Linked DNA regions of Mus musculus. The protein of the gene in region 5 binds, or shares a complex with, the protein of the main gene of each other region. Links are inferred from orthologs where the notes say so. Each region holds a gene or a part of one and is shown on either strand. Other genes may lie near its edges.

What was found.
Region 1: Cnot9 (region 5) and Cnot6l share a complex: the UniProt entries of both Homo sapiens proteins name them as parts of the CCR4-NOT complex. The link is inferred for Mus musculus from reciprocal best matches to the Homo sapiens genes CNOT9 and CNOT6L.
Region 2: Cnot9 (region 5) and Cnot2 share a complex: the UniProt entries of both Homo sapiens proteins name them as parts of the CCR4-NOT complex. The link is inferred for Mus musculus from reciprocal best matches to the Homo sapiens genes CNOT9 and CNOT2.
Region 3: Cnot9 (region 5) and Cnot10 share a complex: the UniProt entries of both Homo sapiens proteins name them as parts of the CCR4-NOT complex. The link is inferred for Mus musculus from reciprocal best matches to the Homo sapiens genes CNOT9 and CNOT10.
Region 4: Cnot9 (region 5) and Cnot6 share a complex: the UniProt entries of both Homo sapiens proteins name them as parts of the CCR4-NOT complex. The link is inferred for Mus musculus from reciprocal best matches to the Homo sapiens genes CNOT9 and CNOT6.
Region 6: Cnot9 (region 5) and Cnot11 share a complex: the UniProt entries of both Homo sapiens proteins name them as parts of the CCR4-NOT complex. The link is inferred for Mus musculus from reciprocal best matches to the Homo sapiens genes CNOT9 and CNOT11.

Annotation. Positions count from the first base shown.
Region 1 is NC_000071.6:96,085,491-96,088,990, reverse strand, and holds part of Cnot6l (CCR4-NOT transcription complex subunit 6-like), read left to right. Parts: intron 1-2,697; coding exon 2,698-2,849; intron 2,850-3,500. UniProt on the Homo sapiens protein: Has 3'-5' poly(A) exoribonuclease activity for synthetic poly(A) RNA substrate.
Region 2 is NC_000076.6:116,494,512-116,498,011, forward strand, and holds part of Cnot2 (CCR4-NOT transcription complex subunit 2), read right to left. Parts: intron 511-3,500; coding exon 449-510; intron 362-448; coding exon 312-361; intron 1-311. UniProt on the Homo sapiens protein: Component of the CCR4-NOT complex which is one of the major cellular mRNA deadenylases and is linked to various cellular processes including bulk mRNA degradation, miRNA-mediated repression, translational repression during translational initiation and general transcription regulation.
Region 3 is NC_000075.6:114,637,401-114,641,629, reverse strand, and holds the start of Cnot10 (CCR4-NOT transcription complex subunit 10), read left to right. Parts: upstream 1-1,429; 5' UTR 1,430-1,689; coding exon 1,690-1,711; intron 1,712-3,620; exon of another isoform or gene 3,621-4,229. UniProt on the Homo sapiens protein: Component of the CCR4-NOT complex which is one of the major cellular mRNA deadenylases and is linked to various cellular processes including bulk mRNA degradation, miRNA-mediated repression, translational repression during translational initiation and general transcription regulation.
Region 4 is NC_000077.6:49,709,923-49,713,866, reverse strand, and holds the start of Cnot6 (CCR4-NOT transcription complex subunit 6), read left to right. Parts: upstream 1-1,144; 5' UTR 1,145-1,513; intron 1,514-3,944. UniProt on the Homo sapiens protein: Poly(A) nuclease with 3'-5' RNase activity.
Region 5 is NC_000067.6:74,519,560-74,523,059, forward strand, and holds part of Cnot9 (CCR4-NOT transcription complex subunit 9), read left to right. Parts: intron 1-2,758; coding exon 2,759-2,868; intron 2,869-3,500. UniProt on the Homo sapiens protein: Component of the CCR4-NOT complex which is one of the major cellular mRNA deadenylases and is linked to various cellular processes including bulk mRNA degradation, miRNA-mediated repression, translational repression during translational initiation and general transcription regulation.
Region 6 is NC_000067.6:39,534,299-39,538,500, forward strand, and holds the start of Cnot11 (CCR4-NOT transcription complex subunit 11), read left to right. Parts: upstream 1-1,402; 5' UTR 1,403-1,540; coding exon 1,541-2,039; intron 2,040-3,117; coding exon 3,118-3,282; intron 3,283-3,972; coding exon 3,973-4,125; intron 4,126-4,202. UniProt on the Homo sapiens protein: Component of the CCR4-NOT complex which is one of the major cellular mRNA deadenylases and is linked to various cellular processes including bulk mRNA degradation, miRNA-mediated repression, translational repression during translational initiation and general transcription regulation.

The DNA.
Region 1 (3,500 bases), on a different chromosome or scaffold from region 5:
AATTAATTCTAGACTGCACACTGTTAAGAAGTTGTTGCTTCTTTGTTTGAAAGCTTATTTTGGACATGTTCTCCTACACAAGAGATTCTTCATAATCTTTCTCAAATATATGATTTTTTGTGCTGTTGTTATAGTTTTGGTTTTGTAGTCATATCAGTCTTGATTATGTTCTTTATATACTCACTTGAGCTCCTGCTCAAATTTTTCAAAAAGGTGAACATACAGAAAAAAACCACAGAACTAAATATGATAAAATAGCTTTAGGAATGCTGCTTACAAAGCAGAGTACACTAATCAGAATAGAATCATCAGGTGAATCTGAAAAACAAGGCAAACTTAACACTTTACATATTACCAAAGATTGCTAGCTAAAATTAATAACTGGAAAGTAACTATAAACCAATGCATGCTAGTAAAAGAAAAATTCCAGTACAGTAGAGGAATTTTAAAATTTCCTGTATGGCTCTCTCTGCAACAGAAAGTAGAAGCCACATGGAACATATTTTGTGTATGGTAGTTGGAGAAGATGTGACTGTCTTAAGTTAGTGTTGGTAGAATGTAAATATTTTTATTTATTTATTTATTTAAAAACTGAGTTTCACTATGTGGCATTGGCTAGCCTGGAACTGGCTGTGTAGACCAGGCTAGCTTTGAACTTAGATCTACTTGTTTCTGCCTCCCAAGAACTAGATTAAAGACATGTGCCACTACACATGTCTTTATTTTTATTTATGTGTATGTCATGTATATGTGGGTGTCCATGGAGACCAGAGGAGAGTGTCAGGTCCTATGGAGCTAGAGTTACAGTTGGTTGTGTCATTGCCTGTTATGCATGCTGGGAACCAAAGTCTGTCCATTTGAAATTGCAGCAAGTGCTCTTTACTTATAATCCCTGTTTATTTTATCTCCAGTACCATTTCATACTCTGCCATATTCTCATTCATTTTCTCTCTCTCTCTCTCTCTCTCTCTCTCTCTCTCTCTCTCTCTCTCTCTCTCTCTGTCATTTATCTGGTTTTGTTTGTTTGTTTGTTTAGAAAGCTATTTGCTGTTTTTGGGATTTCCTCCCACTTTTACCTGAAATGCTCTTAACTTCAGTCTTCACAATGATGGCTTTTTCAGCTTAAGGACCACCTCTTTACGGGAACAGGGTGAAAACTGCTTTTTTTTTAAAGAACTCTGGGTTTGAAATAGGCCACGTGACCAGACACATTACACTTTATGTATTCTGAGCACATCTGAGACATTCAGAATTGGAATAAGAAGCTGATAGGAAGAATATTATTTTAGCTAGCATGGTATATTACAGCATTGCAAGCTTTATAGTTAATAATTTTTGAAGGGTTGTATGTGGTTTAATTTTCAGCTCTAGAAATGATTATAAAGTGGTAGGTAGATTGTTATGAAAGCAAAACATGTCTTTGAAAGTCTAGTGAAAATTAGTATGTTAAGCCATGTCTGTTAGAGCATGTTCTAATCTCATTTCTAAGGATCAAAGGCAGGAAGAGAGAGTTAGCTGCAAGTTCAAGTTCAGGGGCTCTGGCTTACCCCAAAGAACTATTTTGGTTCTCTAGATATTTTAAAAAGTTAATAAAATTGGGTAACTGATGTTAAATAGTATCTTACTTTTGGCCTCTAACACTCTAAGACCATGATCAAAAGCAACTTGGAGGAAAGGTTTAATTCATCTTAAACTTTAGAAGTAATACTTACTTGATCATTAAGGGAAGTCAGGGCAGGAAACTGGAGGCAGGAACTGAAGCAGAGGCCATGGAGGAATGCTGCTTACTGGTGTTTTCCATCTATGCTTACCAAGTCTACTTGGTTGTACCAGCACCACCTGCCCAGGAGTGAACTGTGCCTTCTCATATTAACTTGCCTAGAGGCCGTCTGATAGAGGCTTTTTTTTTTTCCTCAGATAAGTCTTGCTTGTGTCAAGCTGACAGAACAACCAGTACAGGCAACTTGACCAAGTTCACAGTTATTAAATGTTAGCATTAGATGAATTTGTATTATATTCTACAATTCTACTATAACTTGCCATCATCACAGAGATCCATTTTTTTTTTTACAATATAATTTATTTCTCTGAACACTTATACCTAATTAGTCTTTCTGTAAAAACTAGTCAAGGATGTGATCATTTTTAGCTGGGAAAAAGATCATATTCCTGTATTTTCTTGACTGTTACCTTGATATGGTATTTAAAAATTGGCAAGTAGACTTTATTCTTTCTCTTTTAAACTGTTCATTTAAGATTGTATGTACCTTTAAATGTCAGGAAAATCTGAACAGTAGCTTAAGTACATGAGTTTTGTACACACAAGAAGCAGTTTAGAGAGAACTGGCTCAGCTGCTTCCTCATTCTCAGAAGATTGGCTTGTACCCTTCTGCTTAGTTCACATTTAGTATTAGTCCTTTAGATAGTAAATTTCCCCTACTAGGAAGCTAGTAGGGGAAAAGACATAAAAGGATGAAGAGGATATATATTTTACCTTTGTTAGATGGGCCTTCATAAATTGTTTATAGAAACCATATTTCTTATTTCTCACTGGCCAGAATTATATAATGTGAGCATCTGTAGCTATAGATGTGACTATAGATTATCAATAGTGTTTATACTCATGCCCCCTCTACTTTCAATGTGTTAGCCTGACAGTATAACTACCCAAGTTATCTGAATATATGTGCCTTTTAGATTTACATTGGTGCAGAAGCATACAGTGGAATTCAACCAGGTAGCAATGGCAAATTCAGATGGATCCGAAGCAATGCTAAACAGAGTAATGACGAAAGATAACATTGGCGTTGCTGTGGTGTTAGAGGTCCACAAGGAGCTTTTTGGAACAGGTGAGTGCCATCTACATAGATTTCCTAAGGGAAGACAATCTTATTATTACAAGATTATTTCTTTATCTTGAGAACTATTAAGGAGATGGAAAAGAAAATAGCATTAATTATGTAAAGTATTACACATTTCTTGTGAATTCTTGATTTATTCTATAGTTTTTGTCAGCATTTTTACTTAACAGGTAATTTCTGCCCCTTTAACACACCATTCATTGAGAAAATTCTTTGAAATAGGGTATGGCTTGGTTAGGCTGAATTAGAAGTTATACTTAGCCCTCTCTTGTAGTTTGAGCTTCACACGTGTGTACCCTTTATTTTTTAAGGTTAAATAGTTGGCATGCTTTCTTTAATTTCTTTGTTACATCTCAAGTCTTTGTCAGGGTGAGAACAATATCTTTTATCTATGTGATACTTTTCAGAGTTTTTAGATTATTTATAGCTTCCCAGAGAGTCTGAAATTCATTGTATACTTGGCATTATCAAGGTCTTTCATTGACCTCTCTTCTGCCTGCCTTGGAACACTATTATGTTTTAATGTCTCAAGCAGAACAAGCTGATAAGACCACATGGGTGCACTTCTCTTCCTGTGCTACTTTGTCTGGAGTACTAGTTTAAATTATTCAGATGACACATAGTATCAGATTTCCTTTT
Region 2 (3,500 bases), on a different chromosome or scaffold from region 5:
ATAAGTAAGGGCATAAAATAAGAATGTCAGGAAGAGAATCACCAAATTTTCCAAGTTAATGTATTTCCATTCACTATGGTTACAATTATTAATTACAAGAAATATTTTATCATTCCTAACATTGATTTAAAAAAGACCTACAGCATATTAATAAAAATATTAATAAAAACAGAAATAAAATTGTTATGTGAATGGTATACAGACACATACGCCTAAGACTGCTAGTGGATTAGCATGCCGTCTGAACTGGAAGTGGTACCAAGATAATAGCTAAAATCGACGCCTGAGAATAGAAAGGTCTACTCACTCACCTTATCCCTAATGTGAATGTTTGTTAAATATTCTGATGGAACATGGAAGTCTGCATAATAAAACAAACAAAGGTGTTACTAACTGATACTTAGGAAATACCTTTTAAACAATTTTGAGCACAAATAGATTCTCCTACCTATGTCTTGAGGCCGACAAGGTGAAGAAGCCCAGGGTGATGCAAATTTGGGATAGAGATTTCTGAACAAGTAAAAAAGAAGCCACTTTAAAGAACAAAGTAGAAAACTGTATTTCTAACTTAATTTCAGGAAAATGGGAAAAAAAGAATTCAAATAAAAAAATAAGCATCCTTCTTGGTTCCCTTTCTTGAATTTACTGCAACTTTATAGCAGAAAAGTAACCCAAGAGCGCTTCGCTTCCTCTAGTGCTCACCAACAGAGTGTAAAGCACAGCAAGTCAGAATATACTTAGGTACAAAATGGAAATTGTCTACTTTAAATTAGCGGTAACTAACAATGCTCTAAGTTCATTTCTACACTACTCTCCAATTATAGTACTTTCCATGTCCACCTCACTCAAAGCCGAAATGAGGAGGAGCCAGATTTCGTATCACTGAACACGTATTGTGAGTGCCTATTCTATGTTCTGAATAAGTTAAGTGATAAAAACGAAGACTGCTGATATTGGAAAACTTACTTTCTGTAAAAGTGTATGGCTAACTGGACACTGGCAGATAATTAGCATAACAAATGAATAATACTGGTTATATAATTAAATAGGGTGATCAGTTTAAGTCCGATTTGACAAGCTTAGATGTAAACAAATATTCAAGGATATAAGAGCGATAATCACAGGTCAATAGCTAGTAGAACACTGTACTAGCCAAGGGGAATATTAGAACAACTGAGGCAGAGACAGCGTGACATGAGAGGCAGAGGAAGGCAGGGAAACACTTCCAAGGTGGAGTCAGAAGAAAGGCAGGATGATGTGAGCGTTGCAGGGCTGCCACTCAGGGAGGTTTAAATCAGAGCAACAAATCTGTACTTGGGGCTGAGCACAGAAAGAATTATCTTGAGTGCTACACAAAACCATACAAAAAGAGCAAACCAAGAATCCCTGCTGTGATATGCTGGCAGAATATTCAGGCAACAAACCAGGGTGGTAGCAACTTAATGAGACTATGATTGGATTCTGTATCTACTTGAAAGGACTGCATCTGAGAGAAAAGGAGAGACTAAGGATGATGTCGTTTCTGGAAGTATTAATGGAGATCAAAAAAGCATAGCCATGGTGTAGGTTTAACCCAAATCTTAAAAGAGATATTTAGCTAATAACGGCATCTAAAATCTCAAGTTCAAGAAAAAAAGTCTGCCATGGAAGTAGGTGTTTGGAATTTTCAATCTATGTGGTCCTTAAAAGCACAAGTCTAGATAAGATCATCAAGAAGACAATCCAAAGGTGATATGAGCAAGGGAAACTGAGGGATGAGCCAACGTTACCAGGTAAGAATGGTATCTTCAAAGTCAAGTGAGGAAGGAGCACCAAGAGAAAGTGGGGATGCTGCAGAGCGCTTACTGGAATCACAGGAACGGATTCCTCGCAACAGTGGATTCAGTAGAGTGAAAGAAGACAGGTTAGAAAAATGAGGATGACTCATTTGAGACGGTTTGCTTCCAAAAAAAAAAAAAGAATTAAGAATGAGGATAACTCAAAAGAGGTTGATCAAGATAATGTAATTTCAATACAAATAGAAAAATAAGTTTCTCTGTATTTGGCACTAGAAATGTGAAAAGAGAAATGCTGTAAGTTGGAAGGAAATCATGGCATGTATGTGGCTATAACATCATCACTCACACAGAAGCAGGAGTGCTTTAAGGAGCCACCTTGGACTACACTACACCAGCCAAGACCATTTCCAAAGTCCTGGGGGGAAGCGGGCTGAGGGTGTAGCTCGGGGGCACAGCACTTGCTTACTGTGTCCAACACTGGTTTGGATGCCAGCACCAGGAAAAGGAGAAAAAATTAAGACTCCCACTCATGAGTTTTGATGAAGTTTTAGTAGGAAGCATGGACCAAAGATTTTGGCAAGGTCATGTCAGATTTAGATTGGTGGCAGGTCATTAGATTTGGAGGCAGGACCAGGTTAATGTCCTCTTCTATCTGCTTACACCTGTCTTTGTAAAGTAGAAATAGAAGCCAGGTCATTATGAGAGCTACGGACAGGAGGAAATGCTATTCCTGGCTTGATGAAATTCAAAACAGTCACATAGGATAACAGCAGCAAACCAACCAACCAACCAACCAACCCAAACACATCCAAAAGCAAACAAAAGGTTCTGAAAGGATTATGTCATCAGGTAGAAATATGGCTGCTCAGGGCGGTGGCGGCGCACGCCTTGAATCCCAGCACTGGGGAGGCAGAGGAAGGAGGATTTCTGAGTTCGAGGCCAGCCTGGTCTACAAAGTGAGTTCCAGGATAGCCAGGGCTATACAGAGAAACCCTGTCTCGAAAAAAACAAACAAACAAAAAAACCAAACCAAACCAAACCAAACCAAAAACAAAAAACAAACAAAAAAAAAAGCAAACAAACAAAAAAAACAAAACAAAAGAAGTATGCCTGCAAAATTTTGGACTCAAGTTTAAGTTCTTGAGCATCAGTGTGCAGCAGGACCAGACAGTGAAATTACACTTTTCTGTAGTCCAACCAGAAGATGGTCAAGAATCAAACAAACAGATACAACAATGGGTACAGACTTTTAAGATGAGAAGTGAGAAGGGCAGACAGTCAAGCTTGCCTAAGTGAGCAATTATGATTCATCATAAAATTTAATGGTGAGAAGGATGTGAGCTCATCAAAGAGGAGGAGACAAGAACACCGAGGAAGACAGAGAGCTAGAGAATGAGAAGTCGCAATAGAATCAAATGATATAGAAGTCACAGCCACAAGAGAGGCATGGGAAACAGTGATAGTTAAAAAGCAAGCAACAAGGTAAACTTAGTTCCGAATAATGACAAGATCAATGGGCTGGATAAAGATGTGGCTTGGGGACTAACCCAAATGCCTTGTAGATGGATCCTTGGTATTTCTCAGTGATCTATGGGCTAGCTAGAAAGAACAGCCCAGGAGTATGCAGGCTGCTGATGAGATTAGCTACAAGTCTGAGGCTCTCTGTGGTGGCACAGGATACAGGATAACACCTATAATGCCTGCCTGGGTTACTCTGTCTTC
Region 3 (4,229 bases), on a different chromosome or scaffold from region 5:
AATTTCAAAGTCTTATGAGGAGTACCTGGTGTGATGGTGCAGCCTTTAATCCAACACTCGGGAGGCAGAAACAGGCAGATCTCTAAGGTAAGCTACACAGAAAATAGAAAAATGTAAACCAAATAAATAGCTCCATGTGATTTATTTATTTACATACTTAACTATGCTCCCATCAAAGCACCATTTGGGTCACTTTACAATTCAGTGCTGTTGTCATTTATATATGAAGTTCCTCTCCCTCAAAAGCCTGCATATAGGAGGCCCGGCCCCCAGTCCTTGAGAGTGATAATAGGATTCCAACAGTTTGGAGCTATCCTTGGATTCATCCACTTGCAGATTCGTAATTTGGTGCATCATTAGGAAGTAATGGAAATTAAGGAGGTGCGGCCCAGTGGGGCTAAGTATCTCAGTTGCATGTGCCCTTGGAGACTATTTCTTCTCCCAGCTTCCTCTGCTTCTAGCACCAGGAAGGCAACAACTTTACTCTGTCACTTGTGCCCTGGCACAATGCACTGCTTCACTAATGGTCCAAAAACAATGGAACCAAGTGACCTGGGACTGAAAACTCTGATACACGAGGCAAAAAATCCATCCTTCCTCATTTAAATTCTCCTCTAGGGTATTTATCACAGAAGCAAAAAGTCTAACACAAATGCTTTTAATGTCTGTTTCTCTCCGTGAAATGAACCTCTGTTATTATAAATGCTGTTTGTTCTCTAGAAGGGAAAGGAAGAATGGAGTAGGTGCTTCTGGAACCCAAGGCTATGGTCATTGAGCAAAACCAGAACCAGTTCAGGGTTAAAGCCTTTGCCACAAAGACTGCCAGATAGGGATACATAGTGAGATTCTGTCTCAAAAAATTAAACAAACAAACAAACAAAAATTTGTCACGATATGGGCTAGAGATGAGATAGTTGGGAGCTGGGTAGTTGAAGAGTGGGTATTGTTTTTGCAGAGGATTTGAACTTGAATCTAAATCATTGTGCTTAGTAATCGTGATGCATCAAGCTTTTGTCTTAGACCGACCTACCATAGTAAGTTAATGGTTGCATGACTCGCAATCAGAGAAACCGCATGCATAATGCAGTCTGAATGGCTTTTTCAACTTGGCTACAAATAACAAAACAGCTCTGAAACTTTGAAAAAAAAAAAAGCCTTTTTTCTGGGGGAGGTGGCCTCCTCTAACAACACTTCTCTCATCCTCATTGTTATGGAAAAACAGCCCCTATGAGACTCAGAGCTTAGCACATAAACCTCAGGTGTGGTGCCTGCCATTTTGCTGAAATGCGGAACAAAAAGTCCTTCCCCTTCTGTGTTTCACTCAGGACCTACACTAGTGTACTTCCGGGTTTGCAGAAGGACGCGCTTCCGGGGCCGAGGCCAGCCCTAATTCCCACGCCCAGCTGGCCCCGCCCCGGAAGTAGCGTCTCCCTTGGCCGCTACGGGACGGAAGCTGTGGATGGCGGGGAAAACAGCCCTGCACCGGCGGATGTGTTGGCGCTGTTGCTAGACGACGAGCAGTAACTTCGTCACTTCCTCAGCCCGTGGCCCGCCCAGGACCTTAGCCGAGGCGACTGGAGCGGGCTTGAGCTGAAGAGTTGTCCCCCGCCGGTAGGACTCACCACCAGCCCGGCGGCGGGAGTCGGGGCCACGCCACCTACAGGGAGGAACTCGAGCCGAGGCGGGAAGATGGCTGCAGACAAGCCTGCAGGTGAGGCGCCCGCGCCGCGACCCAGGGGCTGACACACTGCGCGCGGGGACGGCAGGGCCCGCGTGGGGGACCCGAGGGCCACTTGACTTCGCTTGGGTACTTGTGCCCTTCACTCTTCTCAGCTGTCTCTACTGTGAGTCCAGTGGATTTTCTGCTGTGACACATCTTGATTCTACTGCACCCCATCTTGATTGCACTGCATTTGCCTTGCTCTCCAAGTTAATTCTGGCGCAGGAAGCTTGAATTTGTCACGCCGCTGTCCAGACGCTTTAAGGGAAAGTCTATCCGAGCACGCACGGTTGCCGTAAGGCCCCCCCAGGCTCAGCCACTGAAAAAGTTCCCTCTGGTCAGCGTGTCCAGTGGAGTCATTCTGAAAACTGTCTAAAGAGGCGTGACGTTTCACTGTGTCTCCTGCCTGCTCTCACTTACCTTGTTCCTCATCTGATTTTTCCCGAGCTCCTCGAGATTCCTTTTTAAAAGTCTTAATTATGTGTGTGAGTGCAGGTGCCTGCCGAGACTAGAAGAGGACATTGCGTCTACTGGAGCTGGAGTTACACAGTTGTGGGCCACCACTTGTGGGTGCTGGGAACCCAGTCTTGGTCCTCGGCAAGAGCAGCGAGTGCTGTTAACCGCTGAGCCATCACCTTTCCAGCCCCAAGATTAAGTTCTTTTTTTTTTTAAGTTATTTATTTATTTATTCATTATATGTATGTACACTGTAGCTGTTTTTCAGACACCCCAGAAGAGGGCATCAGATCTCATTAAGGATGGTTGTGAGCCACCATGTGGTTGCTGGGATTTTGAACTCAGGACCTACGGAAGTGTAGTCAGTGCTCTTAACCGCTGAGTTATCTCTCCAGTCCCAAGATAAAGTTCTTAATTTCTGTGGTTTTCTGTGGTACTCCATCAGGAATTTTTCCCATTAGGGAATTATGAGAGCCCATTTATTACCTGGAAAGTCTGCTATATTTCTTTGAAGAAAGTAATGTTTAGAGAGTGGGGCGGAATTGATTGGTTGATTGATTGATTGATTGATTGAGGCAGGGTCTCACTATGTATGTAGCCTTGGCTGTCCTGGAGCTCGCTATATAGACCAGGCTATTCTCAAACTCACTAGACATAAAGCCTCCTGAGTGCTAAATTAAAGTTGTGTGCCATTATACCCACTGCCATAGAATTTTAGCTAGGTGATCAGAGAAAATCTATTGTGAGGTGATTCCTTTTTTAAAGTTATTTTTAACTTTGGGTGTATGCACGTGAGGACAAATGCCTGAAGATGCTGTCCGAGGAGTTGGGTCACGCAGAGCTGGAGTTACAGGTAGTTGTGGGTGCTGGGAATCAAACTCAGGCCCTCTGAAGAGCAGTGTGTGCTTTTAATCACTGAGCACCAAGGTGATTTGCATGTCTTGGCTTTCAAGGATCAAATCCAATCATCAGGGCGCAAGTATCTTTACCCACCGAGCCCCTGCTGATCCAGCTCCTGCTGGGATAGTATTGAGCACAGATCTGAATAAAGTGAAGGGGTGATCCTGTTGGTGTGGGATGCAAGAAGGGTGCCAATTGCCTGCCCGGGTCTAGACGGGACCGGGACTGTCCTTGTTAATCAAAACAGTGCTGCTTCTGGAATCATTTCCCGGGAAGCGTCTCACCAGATCCAGGACTGCCCGGCTTGAGTTGCACCTCAGTCACGTGGCGTTCCTTCACTGCTTGCTTCCTTCCTTCACAAAGACACTGTGCAGGCATCCTTCAGATGATGAAGTGAGTGTAAGACAGCCTGCCTCTGAGGACCTGCACTCTGGACCTCTGCTGGGTTAAGTGGCATGGTTCTGGCTGTTGGGTCCTCGTAGTTGCTCTCTTACACTTTTCTTTTTGTTTTGTTTTGTTTTCTTTTCTTTTTTTTTTTTTTAGGTTTTTTTTCGAGACAAGATTTCTCTGTGTTGCCCCTGTCTGTCCTTGAACTCCCTCTGTAGACCAGGTTGGCCTCAAAAGCAGGAAATCCACCTGCCTCTGCCTCTGCCTCTACCTCAGAAGGCTGGCATCAAAGCGTGTGCTGACCCAGCTGCCAGCACCACTACCACCCGAGTAGTACTTTATCAGCACTTTACTCAGTGGGTAAAGGTGTTTTCTTTCAAGCCTGACACCTGAGTCCATCCCCAGGACTCATGCAGAGAAAACTGCCTTCTCCAGGTTGTCTCTGACACACGCACACGCAAGTAAACAGCACCAGCCAGTGTTTCTTATGGTAGTGGTGAAAGAGGCAGAAGAGACATGTTAAACTTATTTGGAAAGTGCCAGCCCAGGGTCCAGGAAGTGAAGGGGAGACACAGTGTATTCCATCCCTGCTCTTGATCCACCATGGGCTCTGAGAAGCCGTGGCAATCACTTCCTGTGGGAGTTTTTTTAAGGGGCCTCACCATGGCCCCCTCTGGAAAAACAGCCTCTGGAAGCAGTTTTTGAAAGTAGCACACGGGGAGAGGATTTGTCTGTGTTGCTTCCTCCTGCTTTCTTCTTCCGGTTG
Region 4 (3,944 bases), on a different chromosome or scaffold from region 5:
CTCCATTGCCTTAACTTTTCCAGCGTCTCATGGCACTAGAAGCTTAGACTGACACTGCTATCCTGGCAAATAGCAGGCAATGATGATCTCAAGGCAATGCTGGGGCCAGGCAAACACAAACTGCCTTGAACAGAACATCTGGTTCTTGGAAAGGCTTTTGTCCCTCGCTGCTTTGCTCGCCTAGTTCTCTTCTGCCTTAGGCAACAGCCATGCAAGTCCCACATCCTGGAACGAAAGATGGGCTTCCTTGAGAGGCATTTTTTTTTTTCTTGTTAGTTCCTGGAAGCCATTTCACGCTCAGTTCTGGGCTGATCTGCCACGGAGGTCGGGGTAGCTATTTTCCTTCACACAATTCCTGTCAGTCTATATCGCCAGTGTATTTGAAGCCTGTTGGGCGTTACTCTTGCCCGTACACCATGACGCTGACTCGACAAGGTGGAGCTTGATTAATCCCTGTGTCCTGAATACCAGCCAAGTACTTTTTCCTGATGTAAGTATCATTAATCAGCCCATTCCTTTTCCGGTTTACCTGAAACCACATGTCCTGAGTAGACTATGTTAGCCCTCGAATGCAGCTATAGTTCGTTACTTAAATTAGGACCCCATAATTTAAAAAACAAACAAACCCTGCCTATTAATTATTTTTTTCCTGCATAGTTAGGGCAGGAACAATTAGTTGACTATTGAAGAGTGTAAGTTTTCTTTCTCGGAAGATCAAGACACTGGATAGGGTTAAACGTCTGAGAATTTAATCTGTGCTCCCAAGTGATTGACAGGCCAAGGAAAAAGCAAAATGAATCAAGAGGAGGAAAAAAAAATCAAGGGTAAAGTGGAGATAAAAGTGGACGAGAAAGAAAAAGAGCAACTAAACCGCGGAGAAACAGCTTTAGGAGAGGAGGAGACAGAAGGCGCGGAGAAGGAAAGGCGCAGAGAGAGCGGGAAGAGAGGCTGGGAGGGCGGGCAGGAGCGCGCCGGGCCGGCTCACTGCTCCGAGACCGGGGGGAACGCGGACGGGGCTAAAGCGTCGGGCTGCCAAGAGTCCACCCCCGCACGACGCGGGATAGTCGCGCCCAGCAGCGTCAGCCAATGAGAAGCCGGGATGTTGGAGAGGCGGCGGTGAGCGGGGCGTTCGCTGGCTGGGGTGGGAGGGGGACGGCGGCCGCCGCCATGATGCTTGTTTGCTTTCAATGAAAACGAGGGGGGCGCGGAAGAGGAGGCGTCGGCGTCGGTGGCGGCGGCGTCGACGGCGCGGAGGCGAAGGCGGCGGCCGGCGCGGCGAGGAGGGCGAGGCCGGGGTCCGAGAGGGCGGCAGAGCGTAGCGGCGGCTCGTGGGGTCCGGGGCGGCCGAGGCGGGCGGCTGAGGAGCGGCGGCCGAGGAGGGGGAACAAAGAGCGGCGGCGGAGGCGCTGCAGCAGCGGGCGGGACTGGTATGGTGGTTCCACAGGGCAGACCCCGCTGCACTCATCGGGAGGAGGCGGCGGCAGCGGCGGAGGAAGGCGGCGCAGCTCGAGAGGTGAGCGCGACGGGCCCGAGCGACGTCCCGCCGAGGCTCTGCTGCCTGCGCTCCCCCATCCCCCCCCAGGGGTCGCGCCCCGGCGGGGACCCCGAGCGCGCACTCGCGCACAACTTAGGAGTTCTCGGAGTGACGTCTGTCCGTCCCCCTCCTTCACACACAGCGATCGCCATCCCGTCGGTCCCCTGGCCGCGCCCCCCGCGCGGAGTCCCGGGGCTCGGCCTGGGTTGGGGGTGGGGGGTGGGAGTGTTGATTGACGGCAGTGCGGTGGCGTACAGAGGGCGGTGGCGTGAACCCTGGCTTCTCGGACCCCCGCCTCCGGCCGGTCACGCACCTCAAGAGAGGAGCTGGGGTGCCGGGACTAGGGACAAACCGGTGGCAACTTTGGAGAAGTGGCTGTGCTGGGGGGGGGGGGGTGTGCACTGTGCGGCGTGGAACTTGGCACTCCGTGGATTGACTTAATGCTCACCCTTTTTCTCCTAAAGTATTTTAAAGTCCGTTTAACGCAGATATTGGTAGGGGCGGGGCGGATTACGTGGCCAAAGAAGTGATTATCAGCTGAAGAGATTATTGGACTCAGGACTCAAGTACTAATTTCTGGAAGAAAATTTCCCTAGTTTAACCTAGTTTCAAAGACAGTGGTTATTTACTTTGGTGACCCCCCCTTCCCCCCCCCCCCCCCCCCCGCCTTGACTCTTTCTACCCTGACAACGGTCTTCAGAGACTGCTCATAAGCAACTGTAATTCTTTACTTTTAACTGTTTCTGCAAGTGACAACATTGTGCACAGGCCATCTTGTTACTGTGTTTAAATAATCTGCTAGAATTTGAGTACAGGTAAACCTGTTTTACAGGTAGATTGCCTGATTGACTACTAGGTCTAAATTCTTCTCTGCCTCTGCTTGGAATTTTAACTTTGGAGAATAAATGAAAAAACAATTCGGTGTGTAATAGCACTGTCTTTCCCACACTAGAAATTTTCACCATCCCGCAACCGTTCTGTAGGCTGGTCAAAAGATTGTGAAGGCGTATTTTGCTTTTTGTAATTGCTGCCAGTCTTTTGAAGTTGGCGCTTTGAAGAATACATTTTAGAATTAAAATTACGTGGAGCCAGTGGTCTAGTCAAATTCTCTGACCTGGCTCTGAGGAACCAAGCCTAGAATGAAGAGACTGGATCAGGATGTTAGAGTTAGGAGGGTAGTCATAAAGCAGACGTTAAGGGTGATATAGTTGTTAAGTATTTGGGGTTTGGAGAAGGAAGCGGGTATTTTTATCAGGTAGATATTAAAGTAGGTCAGGTAGCCATTTCACAGGTGCACAGGTGCTTGCTAACGTGGACAAAAATGTATGTGGCAGACATTTTCTAGTGTGACTGGAATATTCTTGAAAGAGAATCCTTGTATAAGTTGAGATGTATTATGGTTGCTGGGAAATTTCAGGCTTTTTTTTTTTTTTTGAACAGACATAGACGCTGATATACAGAACTTGGTCCTGACTACAAATAAAGGCATTATAGGAATTTGCCTACTATGCATGTAGTTTTAACTAGTATTTTGGTTAATGTTTAAACATTTGACTGAACCCATGTTAACTTTACAAAAAAAAAAAAAAAAAAAAAAAAAAGACATCTTAAAATACAGTCCCTGTTAGCCTGAATCTTTCTTTGTAGAATGGGCTGGCCTTGAACTCAGAGATCCTCCTGTTTGTGCCTCTGGAGTGCTGAGGTTAAAGGTGTCCAGCACCATGCTTAAGTTTTCATTCAATACAGCCTAGAAAGACAGTATAAGTAAGACATACTGGAAGAAATGCTTGGAGTATCCTTTGGTCCTTGTGTGGTGAGGGGTCAATATTTCCAGCACACATGCAGCCCTCTCCTCTGACAAGGTCCACTGGCTAGGAAGCTCAAGCTTGCTTGTCTTATCACTGTGGAGAAGAAAGATCTGTTAATTTTTTTAAAAAAAGATTTATTTGTTACATGTAAGTACACTGTAGTTGTCTTCAGACACACCAGAAGAAGGTGATCAGATCCCATTACAGATGGTTGTGAGCCACCATGTGGTTGCTGGGATTTGAACTCGGGACCTTTGGAAGAGCGGTCAGTGCTCTTAACTGCTGATCCATCTCTCCAGCCCGAGCTCTGTTAATTTTTAAAACTTTTTAGCTTCTACAAAATAAATAGTTTTTCTTAATTGTACCTGTTATTTAGGCTATGGAGGTAGCTATGTTACCAGAAAGTTAAGTGCTGACCAAACACAAGTATAACTGTATACCGTGTACGTTTGAGGACAGTGGAATGCAGTAGAGTTTGGTGTTTGAGTAAGTAGTTTAAAGATTAGAAAAGAGTGATTATTTGAGTCTAAGATGGAGGCTGATTCAGGCTGCCTTAATTTTACTCTTTGGCCTTTACTTTTTTGTTGTCTGTTTATATATTT
Region 5 (3,500 bases):
CCTTGGCCTTTTGTCTCCCAGGTGCTGAGATTGTAGGAGTGTACCACCATACCCACCTTTTCCTTGTTTTCCTGTTACTATTGACATATATTTCTACAGTGTTAACTTTGATAGCTATTTTTAGTTTCTGGTTACAGATTTAAATTAAGTATGACATGTTTTAAAGTAAAGCAAAATACAATTTCGTACCTTTTAACAACATAAGAGCAATTTACTAATTTAGTGATTTGCTATGTTCTAATTGGAAAGATTTTGCGTAACTACCTTAAAGGATATTTTCTGTCAGTGATTCAACCCCAAATATAAAAAGAGCTTTAAGCCTTCCATGGTTGTTCATACTTATAATTCCAGTGCTCAGAGGGCTAAGACAGGAAGGAGGCTTGCTAAAGAGTGAGGCCCTGCTCCAAAAAAACAAAATTAAGTAATTATTTTATGTTTACTTAATCAGAGTCATCTTACAACAGCAAAGTTTTAAAGAACAATGGTCATATCACAGGAAAGATAATATATGATAAGCACATACATGGGCACTTCTCTTTTCTAAATTGTGGAAGGCACTGGGCCAAGATTGTTGCATGGTACATGTCATATAATAGGAACTCAGTAAATATTTGTAAGCACTTTTTCCTCACAAAATTCAGATTTGATTTCTTTTTTTGTTTTTCACTTTTTTTATTAGATATTTTACTTATTTATTTACATTTTAAATGTTATCCCCTTTCCCGGTTTCCCCTCTAGAAATCCCCATCCCATCCTCCTTCCCCCTGCTTCTATGAGGGTGTTCCCCCACCCACCCACTCCTGCCTCCCTGCCCTCACATTCCCCTACACTGGGGCATTGAACCTCCACAGGTCCAAGGGCCTCTCCTCCCATTGATGTCTAAAAGGCCATCCTCTGCTATAAAAGCGGCTGGAGCCATGGGTCCCTCCATGTGTACTCTTTGGTTGGTGGTTTCGTCCCTGGGAGCTCTGGGGCATCTGGTTAGTTGATATGTAGCTCTGGCTGTCTAGGGACTCTAGCTGGTCTCAAACTCTCCACCTGCCTCTGCTTCCCCAGTGCTGGGATTAAAGGTGTGTGACATTACACCTTGTGTCAGAGTCCTTCTTAGTTTAGAATTCTAGGCAGCCTCTGTAATTTAGATGGGGGTTGACATGCAAGGTATAGCTGTATTGCCATATTGTCATACATGAAAAAGAAGGGAAAACCCTGGTCAAGAATCTGCTTTGCGCTAGTGAGATGGGTCAGCAGTAAAGAAGCCTGTGCCTAAACTGGACAACCTGAGTTCCACACAGGACTCTCACATGGTGGAAGGAGAGAGGAGCATGAATGCATCACTCCCTACCAACACACACACACACACACACACACACACACAAATAGAGAGAAACAGTCTGCTGTAGCTTTTAATTGCCTTCTTTTTGTCTAGTTTCCTTATAAAGTCTGAGTGTTTAGTTAGTGCTGACTTGTCAGAAACTTTAAAAAGCTGCTAAGAACTTTGTCTTAGATGGGCTTAGTGGCACAGACTTAAGATTCCACCGCTGGGAAGGCAGAGGCAGGAAGATTACTACAAATTCAAGGCCAATCTGGGTTACTTAATGTAGTGAGACTTTCCTAGTCTGATTATCCAAGAAGAGAATACTTATGTTCACTTAAAAGAAGTACATAAGTAGTAGTAGATGGTTTTCTGTATTAGTTGCAAATTCAAGTGCTTTCAAAATATTTGGTGTATTTAGTATGCCTAACCAAGAAAAAAAATATGTTTAAACACAGCAAAGTAGCTGGACATAGTTGGGTATATCTGTAATCTTATCACTTGGGTATTTAGAAGTTCAAAGTCACTATCAGCAACATAGTAAGTTTAAGGCCACTCTTCGTGTGTGTGTGAGAGTGTGTGTGTGTGTGTGTGTGTGTGAGAGAGAGAGAGAGAGAGAGAGAGAGAGAGAGAGAGAGAGAGAGAGAGAGCGAGCGAGCGCTCTCATACATGTGTGTTGAGGGACATACACATGTGCCCAGCTGCCACCCTTGTCTGGGTGTTTGAGGAACCTGGAAAATCCCCCTGCAACTAGAAAGTACCAGAGGCAGTTATAAACTATGGGAAATAGAAGAATTGAACTTAGGTCCCAGCAAATTCTCTTAATCACCAGAAGCCATCTTTTCAGCCTCCTGAAGAATCTCTTTCCCAGTAAAGTAGCTTTTGCCCTTTTTTTGAAGACGGTGTCTCTAGGCTAGCCCCAGACTCATGATCATAATTCTCCTGCTCTAGGCGGGCCCTGATTGCTAGGTTCTGTGTAGATGTACAGCAACACATTGCCTTTAGCATTTGTGGCTTGATTTTCGTTTTGGGAGGTTTGTTTGTTTGTTTGGCTATAGTCAATCAGTTTTTAAGGCACTTAGTGCAGATTAAAAGTAAATTGTGTTGTTTAATCATCCTAGCCTGGGTTGCTGTATCACATTGACATTTTGTGCTGAGTCTTTATGGTGTGTCAGTGAGGGCAAGAAGTTCCCCTTCTTAGCAATGTAGACTTGTCTGGCTTCTGTGGCTGGATGCTAAGTAGCCCTCAACATCTCTCACTTCTGACAAATACATCTCCAGATACTAACACATGTCTCCTCTGGGACAACGTTATACATTGAGAATGTTGGTCACAAAAAGCCAGTGAAATCTTTTCTAAGGATTCCTTCCCCTGGCAGGCAGTCTCACATTCTGTCTCAGACGTAGTGGGCCCTGGGTTGTGACTGTGGTTGTCCTTTCTTTCAGGTCAGCTTTTCTGGCAGCACACATCCCACTCTTTTTGTACCCCTTTTTGCACACAGTCAGCAAAACTCGTCCCTTTGAATATCTTCGGCTCACCAGCCTTGGAGTTATTGGTAAGTTTTTTTGTTGTTGTTGTTTTTCTTAAGAAATGGTCTTATGTAGCCCAGGTTGGCCTCAGGCTTACTATGTAGCTGAGGATACTCCTGAAGTTTTTTCAGTTTTTTTATTCTTTACTTTCTGCCTCCAAAGTGCTGGGGTTACAAGCATACTTCCTCATACTTGATATGGTTTTTAATGTGGAGCTGAGGGTTGAACCCAGGGTTTTATGCGTTCTAGGCAAGCACACTACCAACTGAATGGCATTGATGTCCTAGGTAAGTTATCAGGGACATTAGTAAGCCTGAAATTCTTACTGATAATAGTGGTCTAAGTTGTGTGTTTGGTTCACTTATAGCTTGTTCATTTTTTGTCTTTGACATCGTCTGTTTACTAGTAAGTGATTACAAAGTTACATCCCTTTTTTGTTTGGTTGGTTGGGTTTCTTTGTTTGTTTGTTTGTTTGTTTGTTTTGAGACAAGGTTTCTCTGTGTAGCTCTGGCTGTCCTGGAACTCACTTTGTTGACCAGGCTGACCTCGAACTCAGAAATCCACCTGCCTCTGGCTCCTAAGTGCTGGGATTAAAGGCATGAGTCACCACTGCCCAGGGCAAGCACCATTCTTAATACTGTTAATAAAGCTGTAAGAA
Region 6 (4,202 bases), about 35 Mb from region 5:
AGAATTGATATAACCCATTCCAGACGTTCAGCCTCAGGAAGGGAGAGGAAGTGGGTTCTACAGTGAAAATGAACTCAGTTTGTGGTAATGGCAGAGAAACCCTAGAAACAAGCCCAGTGGAAACAGGGAAGACGCTCTTGGTATTAATCTTAGTGGAAATCAGCTCTATTGGCGGGTAACGTGCTGTGCTCAAATACCTTAAAACATCTCGAAACACCCATACTGTACTAACATTTAAGTTATCAACTAACAATAAGTTATGACAATAACTAGCATGAGTGGGTTTTAGTATGATTAGTTGTCATAGAGCATCCAATGTAAAAAGGCTCAAAGAGAACATAGTTGACTAATTAGTAGTAGTAGTAGTAGTAGTAGTAGTAGTAGTAGTAGTAGTAGTAGAAGAGGTAATTTGAATCATTTGCCCCGTTTGGCAAGCTATATTTTCTGCTGATTGCAATGTTCATTGGCAGAACCCCTCCACAGGTTTAACAGTAAACTAAAGAGGCCTTTAAAATATGCGCCATACCCATCACCTGTTCCTGAAGATTTCCTTGAGAACTTCAGCGGTAAATAGAAAACTTTCAGCTGCCGAAGAGTTTTAGCACAGGGTAGCTAGCAGGTGACGCTGATGACAGTCGCTCGGTTTCTGTAACTCTAGAGTGGATACTAGTCACCACCGGAGCATAGGGGTGGGGAGCGGGCAGCGGTGCCTTTGAAACAGATCACAGGGGACCAGGTCCAGGAGGCTGGTATGTAAAGAAATTTCCAGGGTTTTCCAGTGTTCAGCCAAGGCGTCCAGAAAAAGTGCCCTAGGGCAGGCTAAGGAAAAAGAAGCACTGCAAACGATTTTGTAAACGAATATTTCTCGAGACAGTTTTCTCAGATTTTTTTTTTTCTTTCTTTTTAGACCAGGCTGGCCTCGAACTCACAGGGGTTCGTCTGCCTCTGCCTCCCTGGTGCCGGCCTCGCCTAGATTTTTGTTCACATAACCAAACGTTTATGTGCGGTACGACCCCATCTCTGAGAATACGAGCAAGGCTCGAAATTTAAACTGTTTCTGAGAATCCTGTTTTCATTGGTATTTACAAGAAATGAGCCGTCAAGGATGCTCTATCAGACCAGTTAGCATCTAAGACCTAGTTTCCAAATTATAACTTAGGCAATATTGACTGGGCAGGTTTGGCGCCACCCTGTCACCCAAGGATCGCTTCTGAGGGCTTTAAGGGCAATTAACGGCGGTCTCTACATCACTCAGGCAGGGAAGGACCACTCGGACAGCTCAGAGACCACGCGGCCCCGCCCTCCACGGCGCCCCGCCCCCTTCCGGACACGGCGCCCCGCCCACTCGCGTCTCCGGAACCTCCGCTCGGCCAGCGTCGTCGGTCTGTCGGCCCTGTGTCTCCGTTCCGCTCGTCTGACTTAGGCACTGTTTTTGTTTGCGACGCTGTCGCGGAAGGGTGCGCTTTACGGCCGCGGGAGGACGCAGCGAGTCGGCGCCTTGGGCCTCTCGGCCGGGAAGCGGGGTAGGCGGGCGAGGTTGATGCCCGGCGGCGGGGCGAGCACGGCGTCTGGCCGGCTTCTCTCCTCAGCGGATCCCAGAGGGGCGCGGGAGGCAGCGGCGTTCCGGAGCGGCCCGGCGGGCTCGAGCGGAGGCCGAGGCGGAGCAGGCGGCCCTGGGCCAGGGATTGGAGGCCCCGCGGGCAGGATGAGCCTGACCCCGAAGGAGCTCTCGAGCCTGCTGAGCATCATCTCGGAGGAGGCGGGCGGCGGCAGCACCTTCGAGGGCCTGTCCACCGCCTTCCACCACTACTTCAGCAAGGCCGACCACTTCCGCCTGGGCTCGGTGCTGGTGATGCTGCTGCAGCAGCCGGACCTGCTGCCTAGCGCGGCGCAGCGCCTCACGGCGCTCTACCTGCTCTGGGAGATGTACCGCACCGAGCCGCTCGCCGCCAACCCGTTCGCGGCCAGCTTCGCGCACCTGCTCAACCCGGCGCCGCCCGCCCGCGGCGGCCAGGAGCCCGACCGGCCCCCGCTCTCAGGTACGTCCCGCAGCCAGCCGTGCGGGCGCAGCCAGCTGTTCTGGGGTGGGGGTGGGAGGGGGGTCGTCAGCTAGGGACATTCAGCCTCCTTGGAGGGGATCGACCCTCCCTCCTTTTCCATACTTTCTTTCCCTAAAATAGGGGAGAGATAGAAGTTGCAAGTTTTGTTTTTTTGGTTTTTTTTTTTTTTCAAATTCACTACACTCCAGATGATCCCTCCCAATCGAAAAAGCCAACACATCGTACAAGCCCACAAACGGGCTGGACATATTTTAGTATGCCAGATACGGTTCATTCTTGATTGTAAGGTCCTGAGGTATGCGAAGTTACAGCCAATGGCACTGAGTTTACCCCCTTTTTAAGCCTCCGAGTAAAGAAGTCGGTATTAAGAACCTGAGGTTGAAGTCCACATCACCACAATATCTAAAGTCTTTGCAGCCAACTCCTTGGTTAGCTGTAATGTCGCGTGAGGAGAGGATGAAGTCGTTTCTAATTAACCATTCAAAGATGCATGTGTCCTGGGCAGTATTGTGGAATGTTTGCTTTTGCAGCATTGCTAAGATCAGGCATAGATTACACCTGAGGATGCGCCCCTAAATTTGGTGCTGTGGATGGAACCCAGGGTCACTTCCTCTATACCATGAGCCTCGTCCAGGACTCTGGGACAGCTGTACCACTCACAGGCTGACATACATGTACATATGTACATATATATAGATATAGAGATAGAGATAGAGATATAGATATACACACACATATACATATATATATAATTTTTAAAGTATGTTTAAATTTGTAGGAATCTAAGTATTTGATAACAAAAAGTTCTCAACAGCTATTAAAACCTTACGTTTCATTGACATTTCCATAGATCACAGAATCTCAAGCGATATATTTGTTTATGGATTACTATGTGTACTAAGTGTGAATATTCAATCAGCTGGAACTCAGTTACATTTAGATCATAAGAATAGCTCCACGTGGCAAGTAGCAAAGTTTCCAGTTAACTTTTAAAGTTAAATTTTAAAACTTTACCAGTACCCATTGGCGAGAAACCGGCATGCATTCTTATTTGCAGGGTTCCTGCCTCCTATAACTCCACCAGAAAAGTTTTTCCTCTCCCAGCTCATGCTGGCACCCCCAAGGGAACTGTTCAAAAAGACACCTCGCCAGATTGCCTTGATGGACGTTGGAAACATGGGACAGTCTGTGGACATTAGCGGCCTTCAGTTAGCCCTGGCAGGTGAGGGAGGGCCAGTGATTGGGACATTCTTGTCGGTTCTTGAGATCCCCTGCTTAAAATCAACAAGTTTTTTCTTTTAAATTTACATTTCTGCTGTTTTTGTTTGATCCTCTCCCATCCTGCCCTGCCCTGTCCTTTCCCTGTCTCCCTGTCTGCCACCCCCTCTTTTGTTTGTTTGTTTTGAGACCAGGTTTCTTTGTGTAGCCTTGGCTGTCCTGGAAGAGCTGGGTAGAGCATGCTGGCCTCTAACTGAGCTCTTACTGGCTGACTCTGAGTACTCAGGCACGCAGCCCCAGGCCAGGCCCGCTCCAGTCCCCATCCCAGATCACACCCTTGTACCCCAGCACCTCCTCCACTCTCTTTTCTGTTTCCTTATTCTGTGCTTCTGATTGACACCCAGCCTGGTCTCTGCCCCGCACCTCCCTCCCTGCCATCCACCTCACTCCATGTTCTCTTTTGGAGTTATTTTAATATTATTATTGTTTGGTTTATAGGGATTAAAGATATTTACTTTGAACTCCTGATCTGTTCACGATGTTCTCAATTTTAAAATGTTCTGTGCCACCCTGCCCCTCCCCCTGCCCCCCAGGCTGGCCTTGGGTTCTTGACTCTCGTCTCCGCCTTCCAGGTGCTGGCATTACAAGGTCTAGCTTAAATGCTTTGAATGCTTCTTGTCTGAATCTGTTCCAGAGCGTCAGTCTGAGCTGCCAACCCAGAGCAAAGCCAGCTTCCCAAGCATCCTCAGTGACCCAGACCCGGACTCGTCCAACTCTGGATTTGACAGCTCAGTTGCCTCTCGGATCACAGAGTCTTTAGTCAGTGGCCCAAAGCCACCTATTGAAAGTAGGTATATGGGGCTTAGTTCATGTTCTCAGGGTTGTACTCTAGCAGCACTCGGGAATTCTACGTTTCTTACAGTA